Arabidopsis thaliana: one gene and its partner. The protein of the gene in region 2 interacts with the protein of the main gene of each other region in a pairwise test. Each region holds a gene or a part of one and is shown on either strand. Other genes may lie near its edges.

The links.
Region 1: the proteins of CA1 (region 2) and AT3G59780 interact in a protein complementation assay, tested with the Arabidopsis thaliana proteins (one large-scale study listed by BioGRID).

Annotation. Positions count from the first base shown.
Region 1 is NC_003074.8:22,084,513-22,091,057, reverse strand, and holds AT3G59780 (Rhodanese/Cell cycle control phosphatase superfamily protein), read right to left. Parts: upstream 4,726-6,545; 5' UTR 4,500-4,725; intron 4,395-4,499; 5' UTR 4,153-4,394; coding exon 4,108-4,152; intron 3,945-4,107; coding exon 2,937-3,944; intron 2,841-2,936; coding exon 2,740-2,840; intron 2,641-2,739; coding exon 2,526-2,640; intron 2,375-2,525; coding exon 2,297-2,374; intron 2,130-2,296; coding exon 2,037-2,129; intron 1,926-2,036; coding exon 1,842-1,925; intron 1,749-1,841; coding exon 1,650-1,748; intron 1,538-1,649; coding exon 1,475-1,537; intron 1,399-1,474; coding exon 1,368-1,398; intron 1,258-1,367; coding exon 1,211-1,257; intron 1,128-1,210; coding exon 1,069-1,127; intron 972-1,068; coding exon 734-971; 3' UTR 529-733; downstream 1-528. Other genes in the region: SAC9 (sacI homology domain-containing protein / WW domain-containing protein), read left to right, coding at 5,384-5,402, 5,496-6,091, 6,213-6,345, 6,456-6,545.
Region 2 is NC_003074.8:193,748-199,996, forward strand, and holds CA1 (carbonic anhydrase 1), read right to left. Parts: upstream 4,414-6,249; 5' UTR 4,127-4,413; coding exon 3,905-4,126; intron 3,818-3,904; exon of another isoform or gene 3,101-3,817; intron 2,979-3,100; coding exon 2,917-2,978; intron 2,759-2,916; coding exon 2,609-2,758; intron 2,509-2,608; coding exon 2,460-2,508; intron 2,352-2,459; coding exon 2,235-2,351; intron 2,095-2,234; coding exon 2,041-2,094; intron 1,948-2,040; coding exon 1,862-1,947; intron 1,765-1,861; coding exon 1,659-1,764; intron 1,591-1,658; coding exon 1,432-1,590; coding exon of another isoform or gene 1,426-1,431; exon of another isoform or gene 1,145-1,425; coding exon 1,106-1,144; 3' UTR 679-1,105; downstream 1-678. Other genes in the region: LSF1 (uncharacterized protein), read right to left, coding at 5,108-5,230, 5,357-5,501, 5,677-5,789, 5,902-6,007, 6,112-6,249. UniProt on the Arabidopsis thaliana protein: Reversible hydration of carbon dioxide. Required for photosynthesis in cotyledons. Binds salicylic acid.

The DNA of each region.
Region 1 (6,545 bases), about 22 Mb from region 2:
TCAAAACTAGATGGAAATACAGTTTTTTAAAGAGAAGAAACGTTTTCACTCGTCGTCAACTTCATTGATATGGCTTCAGCAGCTGAGTGAAGTGTACGAATACGGTCAATCAAGTTAGCTTTCCTCACATTCAAGGCCAAACAAAACTCGATAGGAAGAATGTAAACAGACACCACTAACAACTGGGAATGTGATGAACTAATTAAAAGGATACAAATCTAACAACAAACCGATACTTTGGAGTGTTGTATTTGTTCTTGTCTTGATTAATAAGACGGATTCTGGCACGATTATCAGTCTTGCCATCTATATTAAGAAAACACGAGAACTGTCACAACAAAATGTTAGCTTTTGATTAAACAAAAAATAAATGTTTCTATCTGTGTAGAATGATTACCTCTTCTTCTCCTGGATTTGACCTGACCCCTGAGTCAAGGATGACGATTGCTTTTTCACTAAACCCTAAGTATGCCACTTTAAGGCCTTCTGTTATTGGGCCTAAAGCCCAAAGTTATTAGGGGAGAAATTGCTGTAATAATTTTACGTGTAACCTATAACTTTTGACCCAATTTAGCTAGTTCTAAATTTGCAAAACAAATCTCAGCATCCGAACGAAAAGAAAACAGTTTTTTTTTATTACACTTTTTCTGTTGCCGATGTTAACGGTTCCAAGAGACGAACAAAAGTAATTCTTGGCAATTATAAGAAAAATAGAAAACAATTTTCAGAGTCTTTACGCTTCGGAGACATCAACGTTGTTCAAAGCTTCTTCTGGTGACGATGATGCATCTTGGAGACTTTCAGAAGTTTCATCAGAGGGTTTCGATTCATGCTTAGCAGCAGCTTGCAAAACCCGGCTTCGAACATCTGAAGAAGAAGGCGAAGTTGGGAGGCCAACACCATTTGTTTCTAGTTTTCCTGCAGCCCACGAGAAAGCCTGAGCTCCGAGTTTCACAGGTGCAAGCAACAGCCTTGAAGAAGAAGATGAAACAATCTTTGTTAAGACAGAACAGAGGTTTCGCTGAGTTTTTGCTATGGAAAAAGGGTCTAATGATGGCGCTTTTATACCTGACGTCTTGTTTGAAGTCTTCGGAGTCATCATATGAAGAAAGTCGTAGGTATATAGTCTGCATAATGTTTGAAACTTGAAAAACAAAACAAAGCAACTATAATTTGACAAAACTTAGAAACTGGAAAGGCTAGTATATACCAGACTAAGGCCGATGACAGCTATGAGTTGCAGTGTTTTCTCCCACTCTGCGAGAGATAGAGCAATCATGTTAGTGCAAAACGTGGATGTGAGGAGCTTGTGTGTTGTGGAGAATATGAGATATTCTAAAGGGGAAATGAGAAAGAATTAAACGCACCAGACAAAGCATACAATGCTGCGAAAAAACCCTGCATATATCTTCTTATATTAGTCAGGATGGGATTATTATTAAACGGAAATAGAAAAATAGAACTAGAAGCATACCACACCAACTCCAAATAGTTGCAATGGAGAGGGATTTATGTCCTCAAAAATCGCCTCAGCTTCCTGAAAAGCATTTAAGATATGTTTAACTTACTGATGAAAAGATTTGAGAGCAGTTTCAATTTCATCTAGCTGAAGAAACAGTCCAAACATATTTGTATTCATATGGTATTACCTCGTTGAGGATGGTAAGTGTTGTCTCAGGTTTTGGCTCTTTCACACGAAGACCTTCCTGTACCCATGATCTATACCCACCTTGCATCAAGTATGGCCTCTGTCACATCATAGGCAACCAAAGAAGAGCTTATTCGAAAATGTTTAAAGGTAACTTATTGTGTTCAAAGTGAATTATGCCTGAATGACTTGCCTTAATCCCAACTTTTCTCAGGGCTCTTGCAATACCCTTTGAACGAGTTCCATCAGCATCCATAACAACAACCTTGGACCTGTCCTATTAGTGGGAGAGTAAGCAAAATTATGAGATGTCAGCATACTTAGAAACTGAAACAGCTCGAGCCACAAAACCATAGTAAGTTACAAAAGAAGCATGAAGGTAGCACACCTGAACTATTTTCAAGTTCTTGATGATTACTGCTGTCAAGATATCATCTACTTCACTTCCACCTTTCAGTAGCCGTTTGACATCACCGTCAACCTTAAACATGAATCAAGAACAAGAACCCATAAAAAATGTGAATAAAGAAAAGTCTGATATCCTACTTCTGTTGCACTGATTGCTGAAACCTCGTTGTGTTCATAGATTACATGTGTAGAGTTTCTATATTCGCTGTGGTCAACAACAATGAGGATGCTAAAACCAACCTCAGGCAGTGTCACGCTAGAATATCGAAATCGAGCTGATCTCCGCAGATCAGGTATTCCATCTTTCTCTCTCAAGGCCTTCAAAAAGACAGTAGCCAAAATGAGCATTTTTATTTCAACCCAAACTCCTTGATGAACATTATGTGAAAGAAATAATCAAATTGTGGTGGGTTTTGAAAAGTTATATATCATGAAATGGGAACTTGTTAGAAACTTAAGAGCGTCTTACTTCAGGCCTGACATCTATGAGCACTGACTTGTCTCTTGATTTTAAAAGGTCCAGAGTTGACTTGGGAGACAAATCTCCAGCATATCCACCATATGTCCAAACCCGATATAGAACCCTGCAAATATCTGGTGGAAAATATAAATTCTTCTATACTACATTGTCCTCTCAAGAAAAGCAAGTTTAATATCCTTCTAGGGTAAGAAAAGCCGTGTACCAAAAGGTTCCTGTGGTGCCTACGAAGAGAAAAAGGTGAAGGATTGGGTCATCTGGATCCAAACCGATATTTCTCTCCAAACCTCCAATGGCAACAGATACCTGTTCATCATGATACTGTTAGCAACTGTAGTCCATAAAGAATTAATTTTCTTCTACGAAAATATGAATGAACCTTCAGTATATAAGACAAAGCACCTGCTGCAATACAGCTCCCACGGGACTCAATACTTTTAGAGCAACATCTTCTGACGAGTTAAGGGCACTCTTTACATCTGGAGGAAGTAATTCTTTTGCTGATCCATAAGAGTACACAACAAAAGAAACTCCATTTGTTACAGATCTCTCTCCAAGACTAACTGATTGCCTCAGCAGATCAATGGCAATAACAGCTGCTCTGTTTGAAGCTTCCTTCAAGCCAGTAGAAAAACTCGAAAACTTGTCTCCAGCTACATCTCCCGTTTGGTCTAGCGTAGAAAACGCTCTGTTAACTGCACTATCTACAACTTCAGAAGCATTCTTTGTAATGGATGTCACAGACGAGGAGAAGGACTCCAAAGTGTTCTTTACAGCATTTTCTCCTTGGTTAAGTGAAGAGCTGAAGGACTCCTTGACCCCAGAAGAAAAGTCATCAACGCTAGCTTTCGCATCAGGAAGTGAAGAGCTGAAGGACTGCTTGAGCCCAGAAGAAAAGTCATCAAAGCTAGCTTTCGCATCAGGAAGTGAGACTGAACTATCCGGAGATATTTTAACAGTCGCATTGGTTCCCGATTCAACAGAGTCTATAAGGCTACTGGTCTTATCGGTTAAAGTCTCAGCAGAAAGGCATTCAATGGGGGAAACATCTGGTACAACAGCTTCAACAGGAGAAACATCTGCTGCAACAGCTTCAACAGGGAACACATCTTCTCCATTTTCTACATATGTCAGTCCCTCATCACTCGCTACAAAAGCTTCACTCATGTTATAAACCATGTAGTTTATTCTGTCCAACTCATTCTGGCACAAACTTCCGAATGTTGATACTGGTTGTTCTGTTTTTTCGATAGTACCGGTCAAGAAACTCCCAGTGGCTTGAGGTACGAAACTCTTCTGCAGGCGTGTTCCATTAGAGATACCAAAGAAGGCATTGTCACCTGAACTGTATCTGTGAATCAACTCTCTCCTGAAGGAAGAACAGCCTCGCCAATTGCCAGGAAATAAAATCTGCAGAAACAAACCCGTTATGAGGTACTTACTTATCTATGAAAATGAATCCAAAAACCCAAAGCACTAACAAAGCGTAACACCCATAGCTCAAATTGGATGACTTCAATAAATTTGCTACCAGTTAGCTTATTTACTTTCACTTCTATAAAGAAAATCTAACCTGAGAATGGTAACGGCAGCTTGTGGCCGAGCACAGGGGAAACATGTTGGTCAGTCTTGGATTCTTACAGCAATCTCATAGCTTTCACAACATACCAGAAAAGGAACAAAAAAATACAATTTCAAAGAGAAAATGACGATCCAGTAAATCTGAACCGGAATAAAGAACGTCCTAATGAGAACAAAACAAAAATCACAGACCAAGAAGAAACAGTGTCTCAACAAGAAGAAGATTCAGACAAAAAAGACTCCAGCAGCAGATTTACAATAATGGGTGTCGTCTGAAACCTGCAACAAGAATACCCATTATTCAATTACTGAGTCTGAGCATGTTTGGAACCTTGAACAACAGAAGCAGTTCAAAGAGAGATCAAATGCAGTAACTTTAATAACCTATCAGGGTCAAGGTCGATGATGATGAAGTTTCATGAGAAGAGTGGACTGAGCTTGATGAAATATGTTAATGGCGACTCGATTGAAAAAAGATAGAGGCGCGTGGATTCGATAGAGATTGTGTCTCAATTTGGATTGGGTGGAGCAAGATAAGCAAAGCGAATCGTGTGGCTTGTCCAAAGCCGTTAATTCATCATCTCTATACTTTATTTTGTCTTTTCTTTTGATTGGGTCTATTCGTTACATTTTAAAACTAATTGGACCAATTTTCAAGTTATCAATAATTTCTTCTCTTTTTTCATAAATCAATTAAACAGATTCACACGTGTCGTACTATGATTGTTTTTGTACTGTGTGTTGGGTAACAGCAGATTTACTCTTCTTCCTCTTCGTTTGTTCGTCTACGAACGACTTGGTAAATTTTGCATCTGATCATCTCTACAACTTCAAGGTGAGTTCCTTCTCTTATGACTTATGATTCGATTCGGGTTCTCTGAAGAATTTATCTTTCTGCTTTCTCGGAATTTGAATTATCGATTTGCGTCTTTAATTTTGCTATTCTCGGAAAAAGTCTCAGATCTCTGGTACTCGTTTTTTTTATTACTTCTATCGAAATTTGTGAGAAAATTCTGATCTTTTGTCTCAGTTATATCGGAGATTATTGTTAGGAAGATGATCTCTCTGTTTTGATTTTAATTGGCGTTGATGAATCGTTTTAAGTATAGAACTAACTATGCTACATTTTTTGGATTCCATTGCTTTTTATTTCTCTGATGGAAGTTCCTTATTTCGTTGACTTTTTGCTAGATTTTTGGTTCCACATTGATATCTTGGTCCCTGAAGCTGTCAAAGAGGGCACCTGGTCCGCTTGGTCCTGAGCTCAGATGGATCTGCATCCACCAGGTTAGTTTCTTTTTGAAGATTCAAGTGTTTTTTTTTTTCACTCTAGCTGTTTTCATCATTTGGTTGGCTAATTTTCTTATCTTCTTGGTGTAGGTGGTTCAAAAAAGACATCTGTAGTTGTTGTCACCTTAGACACTGGTGAAGTCTATGTCATTGCAAGTTTGTTATCTAAGGCTGATACTCAAGTTATCTATATCGATCCTACGACTGGTATCCTGCGGTACAATGGGAAGCCTGGCCTTGATAATTTTAAGTCAGAGCGTGAAGCCTTAGATTATATTACGAATGGATCAAGAGGAGGTGTTAGAAGCTCTGTTTATGCCAGGGCAATACTCGGTTATGCTGTCTTGGGGAGCTTTGGGATGCTTTTAGTTGCGACCAGGCTAAATCCAAGTATTCCAGATTTGCCTGGTGGTGGATGTGTATATACAGTGGCTGAGAGTCAATGGGTCAAAATACCACTCTACAATCCACAGCCTCAAGGGAAAGGTGAAACCAAGAATATTCAGGAGTTGACTGAGCTTGACATCGACGGGAAGCACTATTTCTGTGATACTAGAGACATCACTCGGCCCTTCCCAAGCCGTATGCCACTTCAAAGCCCTGATGATGAATTTGTTTGGAATAGATGGTTGTCCGTGCCTTTTAAGAATATTGGGCTACCTGAACACTGTGTCATTCTTCTGCAGGTTCGTCCTCCATTAATGAATTGATGAAGGTTGATCTACCTATCCGATTTCGGTTTTGTGTGAAGATTCAAAAGCATATAAATTGATATGACATCATCTTCTTATTTGATGTTAATTATAGGGGTTTGCAGAATATCGACCTTTTGGGAGCTCAGGCCAGCTAGAAGGGATTGTTGCTCTAATGGCCCGTCGTAGCAGACTGCATCCAGGGACTCGTTACCTAGCTAGGGGCATTAATTCATGTTCTGGCACAGGTGACATGCCCCCCTAAAATGCTCCTCTCTCTTAATTTCTTTGTTGTTCTCTTAAAAAGTGTGGCTCTGGATTGACTAGGGCCTAATTTAGAAGTATATGTGTAGTGCAGGTAACGAAGTTGAGTGTGAGCAGCTTGTATGGATACCTAAAAGAAATGGTCAAAGCATTGCTTTCAACTCGTACATTTGGCGACGTGGCA
Region 2 (6,249 bases):
TTATTTAAGATTTTTTAAGGAAAAAGTTTTAACTCTTCTCTTTTTTTTTGGTAGGCAATTAACTCTTCGCTTTCTTTCGGTGTATTTTTCTCTTAAAAATCAGTTCAAGATAAATATAAAAATAAAATTTATCATTCTGAAAATATATATTAGAAATCTCAAATAAAAATATGTAACATCAAATATAATGTATTTATCAAATCAATGAGTAGATATATATAGTTCATGTCTTCATGAAATCATGGGACTCTTGGTCACTTTGCTACTTTTTCCTCAAGCTTTAGCCTTTTCGTTTTGTGGGTTTAATCTTCTTCGATCGATTTATACCGGATTCATAAACGTCGTCCTTGGACAAAGATTTAAGCCCGTTCAACGGTGCTTTTTCATGATGGATATGTAAAACCTAAACCGAACCTGACCATTTAATTGCCACAATAAAGAATTGCAAACTTGGGCCTAGGCCCATAATGTGTAGGCGGACAAATTTAAACAGCAACATACACAGACAAATTTCAGATGTTTATATTTTATATGACCAAAAAACTACGAAGCTACAAATCTACAGTTTCACTATCCGCATCCGGATCTGTTAGACTGGGATATCCGGGTTCCGGGTACCAGAATTCGACAGTTTTAAGGATTTGGGTATCGAACCCAGAAATTAAAAGATCCAGAGTTCTAGGGTTTGTGAGATATCGAGAAGAGATCGAAATGATTTTGTGACCTTCAAAGAATGATTTTGTGTTTGTGTCGGCAAGTGATAATTAATTGGGCTTGGGTATCAAAAATATTTGGTTTGTTAAATATATGGGCTTTTAGCTAAATGGGTTTCCAAGCCTTTTTATTTCATGTAGTTAATGGTACCGGATCCGGATATCCGGGTTCATTTTTTTCATTATCCGGATCCGCCCGTCCCGGATATCCTTATTTACGATTCAATGATTTTTTTTTGATTTTTTTTTTTTTAGTTTTTATTCAAATTTCTGTCCCCCAAGATTTTAATTCTGTAAAATCAAAAACCAGTTTCATCAAGATCTGCATGTAAACAACAACTTGGTGTTATTGAATTGACAATGTGAAATCGGGTAAGGCTTCAAAGAGTTTCCTACAGCTTCCAATGTAGTATGGTAGCCACATCTTTAACCTACCAAACAACATAGAAAATAAAATCAAACCATAAATACAACCGATTTGATACACAAATAATAAAGACAATTGTTCATAATTAAACCACGAAAGATCTATATCATCTGCTTTTCCTTTTTGTTTTATATATATGAAGAAAGTTGGTAGAGAGGGAGAGATAACTCATCACAGTCAAAGGCACATTACAAATTACATATGGGGTAGATATATATTATATACGATGATAATAATGATGATGATGATGGATGGTCATGATGATGATGATGATGATGGATTGGTTCATACAGAGCTAGTTTCGGAGAGGCCAAATTCAAGTCCCCAAAGCTCAAAAGCACCCTTGACGAAGTCATAGTAGCCTCCCTTCAAAGCAAGTGTTCCCTTCACAAGTCCTTCTCTCACAAATGGATATGTCAATAGGTTTGCTAGTGAAACATTCACCGCCTCCTGCATTTATCAATACATTTATATTGTTATATATGATCAGCTCATCGATCTAACATGTGTTTGTATACCCTTTCACATCGGCCACATTGATCTTCAAAGGCTGAATCTCCAAGTTCTGATATAACCTTTGACTTGGCTGGTAAACAGATTTTGACCCAGTCCTCTATGAAGTCACTGCAATTAACGTATATATTTTTTACTAATCTCATTTAATAAATCCTGTTATTAAAATTGATTAAATTTTAATAAAATGGATATAGAGATATTTTACGTGGAGTTGTTTCCATCTAAGGGGAAAGACATAAGCCCTTTGATCCCACCACATGCACTGTGTCCTATCACCACAATGTTCTCCACCTACAGTAATAAATTCATTCAAAAATTAATTACATGTACTTTGATAAATAATTTTTTTTGGTTAAGGTGTTAATTATTTTATTTTATTTTCACCTTAAGGTGTAAGACCGCGTATTCAATGGCTGCTCCAACGCCACCGTATTTGACCTGCCAATTTAGCAACCCAAAAATGAAAATAGAAAGTGAATGTCACGACTTCTCAAGACAAAAGTCAAGACTCAAGAGGCAGAAGGTTTAAGATAGAAGAGTTTATATCTATAGAGAGACAGACGTGTTAAATTATTAACCTTGTCGAAAGGAGGAACCATGTTGGCTATGTTACGGACCACGAAGGCATCTCCTGGCTGAAAGTCCAGAACGTGTGATGGACACACACGTGAGTCTGAACAAGCAAACACCATGTACTGCACCACCATTCACACACCTTTGTTAATTACTTTTTCTTAATGTTTCATTTTTAATTTATAAGCAACCATGATATACACATAGTATTAGTTTTATTTTTAATTTACCTTAGGACTTTGACCCTTTGCGAGCTCACCGTACAAAGCAGGGTTGGTTCTGCAAATAAAAGTATAAATATGAACCAGTTAATTAATCTAGACCACTTTAGTTGGTGACATAATTAAGAACAAACAAATGAAATAGAAATATATATTACTCGTATTTCTCCTTCTTGAATTTGATGAAGCCCTGCTTAATGGTTTCGACGGGGTCGAAAGCTTTCTTGTCGGATGAAGTACCTGTCTGAAGAGCCGCTGTGATCTGCTCCACCTTTGCCGCTGCAACCGTCTTTAGCTCTTCCTTCTCGCTGCCATATGTTTATATACATTTATAGTTAAATCACAAAAATTATGAATTAAGTAGTATTGAAAAATCCCGTTACTAATTTATAATAATGTTTTAGCTTTTATTAATCTAATCATGTATTAATGTATGCATGCGAATAGAAAAGATGTATATACTTACATGAGAAGCTTCTTGAGAGCTTCAATAGCCTCGTCGTATGCTTCGGTTCCCATCTCTTCACTCTGCAAGTTGGTTGACCAAATAAAATTAGAAGAAAATGAGTACTAGTATATTTTATTGTCGTGAACGTAATTAAGTAGAGAGCGAGTCATGACGTGTTTTAAATGTTGAAACTACAATCAACCTGTTCAGAACTTCATTATACGATAAAGTACAATTTTATAGTCTTTTATATTATGATTTTATTTTCGCTAGTAGGAACCAAATCGGTAGGTTGAATGAATAAATATAGATGGCGACTTAATCACCACTATGCTCCACACGCTCTCATATGGTACATGTGCATACACACACGTCTCAGTTTCATGAATCGTTTTTGTTGAAGCTACTACTAGCAACTTTTCTTTTATCACGTGGATCCTACGTACGTTCTAACTCTCAAAATTTCAAAAATGTCGGATCTTGGGTAGGAATGAGACAACGCTTTTAATATTTCGAGGTGATTTGTTTTTAACTTCACTAGATGTCGAAGCAAGTAGTTTGAAGATCTGTATAGAATAAGGATTGAAAATGAACTCTTCCCTTGCTTGTGATTCACTAATTAAGCAACTTTAGTTTGATTCTTGTTAATTTGGGTAATTCTTTCAGTACCACGCTAAAGACCAAAAGTCAAACACGGATGATAATAGTAAGGATAATATAAGGAAATACCAAGGGAAAAAAAAACTGAAATGTGAAACACATGTGACAGTTTCCAAGATTTGTGGAAGTTTCGTAAGCTAGTTTCTATAGAAGATTTTTGTTCCTATCACTAAAATGGCAATTGCAGAATCTATATAATAATTTCGTAAAATCTTTACAAATTTTAAAATTCTGTAACTTTAGTTTGCTATCTATGTAATGTACCCCTATTATACGTAAACAGCAATGTAAGTTATGTAAGAAATAATGTAGGTTAAGAAACAGTGATGAATGTAAAAATGTATACCCAATAAGGGGCAATGATAGGAGCAGGAGCGGCAAAAACTGGCTCGTTACGGATAAGCGTTGGAACGGAACGGGAAGACGAGGAGGAGGAAGATGAGGAAGAAGAAGAGGCGGGTGGGAGGCAAGCGACGGTGGAAGAAGTACGAAGAGAGAGTTTCTGGAGAGAAGATTGAGAAGGAGAAAGTGAAGTGAGAAAGAAGCCGGAGAGAGGAGCGGTCGACATTTGTTGGCGAAGAGAAGCGGAGATCAGAGAGAGTGAGATATGTGTATTTATAGTTAGAACTAAGACTCTTATGGAAGCTACTATATACTTAAGTGAATAATGGGATTGGTTGAAAGATTTGGGAGTTTAAAAGAACGGAGTCTCATGGTCATGGTGAGGTTGTGGGAACGAGGATAACGAAAGCGATAGCTGCGGTGAATAACAAACTTTCTTCTTTTCTTGTGGATGAGGAATATTAGCTCAAGATTTCAAAACTTTTACGTGCTCTTTTCTTCTTTCAATTCTTTTTTTTATAAAAAAATAAAAGGTCTCAGAAAGGTTTAGAGGATAAGGTCCCTTATCATGAAAACAAGGATCAGCCTCTTTCACTTACCCTCTCAGGCTCTCATCTTAAATAATCACCACCCACTTTAGATGTTAGGCCATTTGTTTGTGGTATACATATAGAAAGATCCATACTTCTCTAGGCTCTCTCTAGACCAGAGATTGCTATTGTATACACAATCTAGAAGATGCAAAGGATTAACATCGATCATGGACTGTTCTACTCTACGAAACAACAGACTCAGTGAAAACTCTTAGCATGAAAATGAAGAGGAAATAAAAAAAATAGAGAAGAAGGGTCTCTCCTCTCAGACCTTCCATGGCCATAAATCATCATATAGGCAACATTAGATAACAGAGTTTCTATTTTCTTCAACATGTTAGGAGAGAGCGAGAGAGAGAGAGAAAATGAAGAAGAAATACAGAGACCAGTAACGCATTAGGGTTGGTTTTGGGACTTATATGTAAAGTGGGCAACGGCGAAACTATGTCGACATTTTTTCATGCAAACACACAACATAATGTCAACATTCTCTTGTCATAGAGTGCGCGAATGTGGCAATGTTGTTCACAACGATATTAGGGTTAAGTACCTCGAGGAATGGATAGAGACAGAAGAATGGATGTAACATTTTAACTTATGCCAAAACAAAACTTCTACGACTTTGGGCATAGTCTTATTGGACAAACTGAGAATGCGATACACCGAGCTGCTTTCGCCAGCCTAAATCTTTCGCTCTCTGTTAACACTCTCTCGATCACCTTTATGATATTTGCATCCTGCAAAACATTGTACAAGTTGCTTCAGGTTTATGTCTTGAACCAATCAGGCAAATATAACGTGGAACATCTTATTCAAGCTTTTCCTATTGTATGAAGAAGAGACTACTGCATAGTAGGAGTAACCTTTCTTGGTTGTTGAATTGTAGGCCTGACGTTAGCAACATCACCAACTACAATTATATTGTTCGTGTTTCCTCGGTCATCTCTTTCCGTTGGTGAAGTTGCTGAATGCCTCCAATCACCGTTGATTATGTACTTGTAGTAGTATCTGCCACATTGTCAATAATCACCAAGTTATATGACACAAATGCATTTTCATAAGTTTCTTTGCAGTTTGCAATCCCTCAAAAGTCACAATTAACATGCAGGGAAGATTATGAGACGTTTTACTGTTGAACCTTAAAAAAAGCATCAACGGGAAAGGTAAAAGAAGCATGACTTACTTTCCCTGTGTAAGTCTAACTTCAGTTTCAAAACGTGGACCGCCTTTGTGCGTTGCTTTTATCGGTTCTTTCCAATTTCCTGTGAAATCCCCAACCAACAATACCTCCTCCCCCTGTAAACCAAGGTGTAACTTAAAACACAGAGGCTAGTTGCTCAACCCTACAGATCACGAGTTCCATAAAGAATTGCAGCAAAGTAATAAAAGCATGTGAAGCAACAGTCACCTCATGTCCATTCCACACAAAGGTTACAGAGTGTGTTGGAGTCCCATCATGTTTGCCATCGTCCACCATAGCGATAAGATCCCATGTTGCCCAAGCAATTGCAGGTCTGTGAAAAAATACATATAACTTGTCTGATGTTTTCATTAAAACAGAAAAGCTATCCATGGTCTGCAGGTTAATGGTCAAGACAGAGATAAGATGGATAAAAACCTGTCAGGTTTGCAAGCGTGCAATCCAGTAACGAAACTATAAGCAGCATGAAGAGAGGTATCAGTCATCCAGTGCAGATAAGCAATCACACAAGCGGATGACCGGTCAAAACCAGTGGTACAAGTTACAAAGACACGA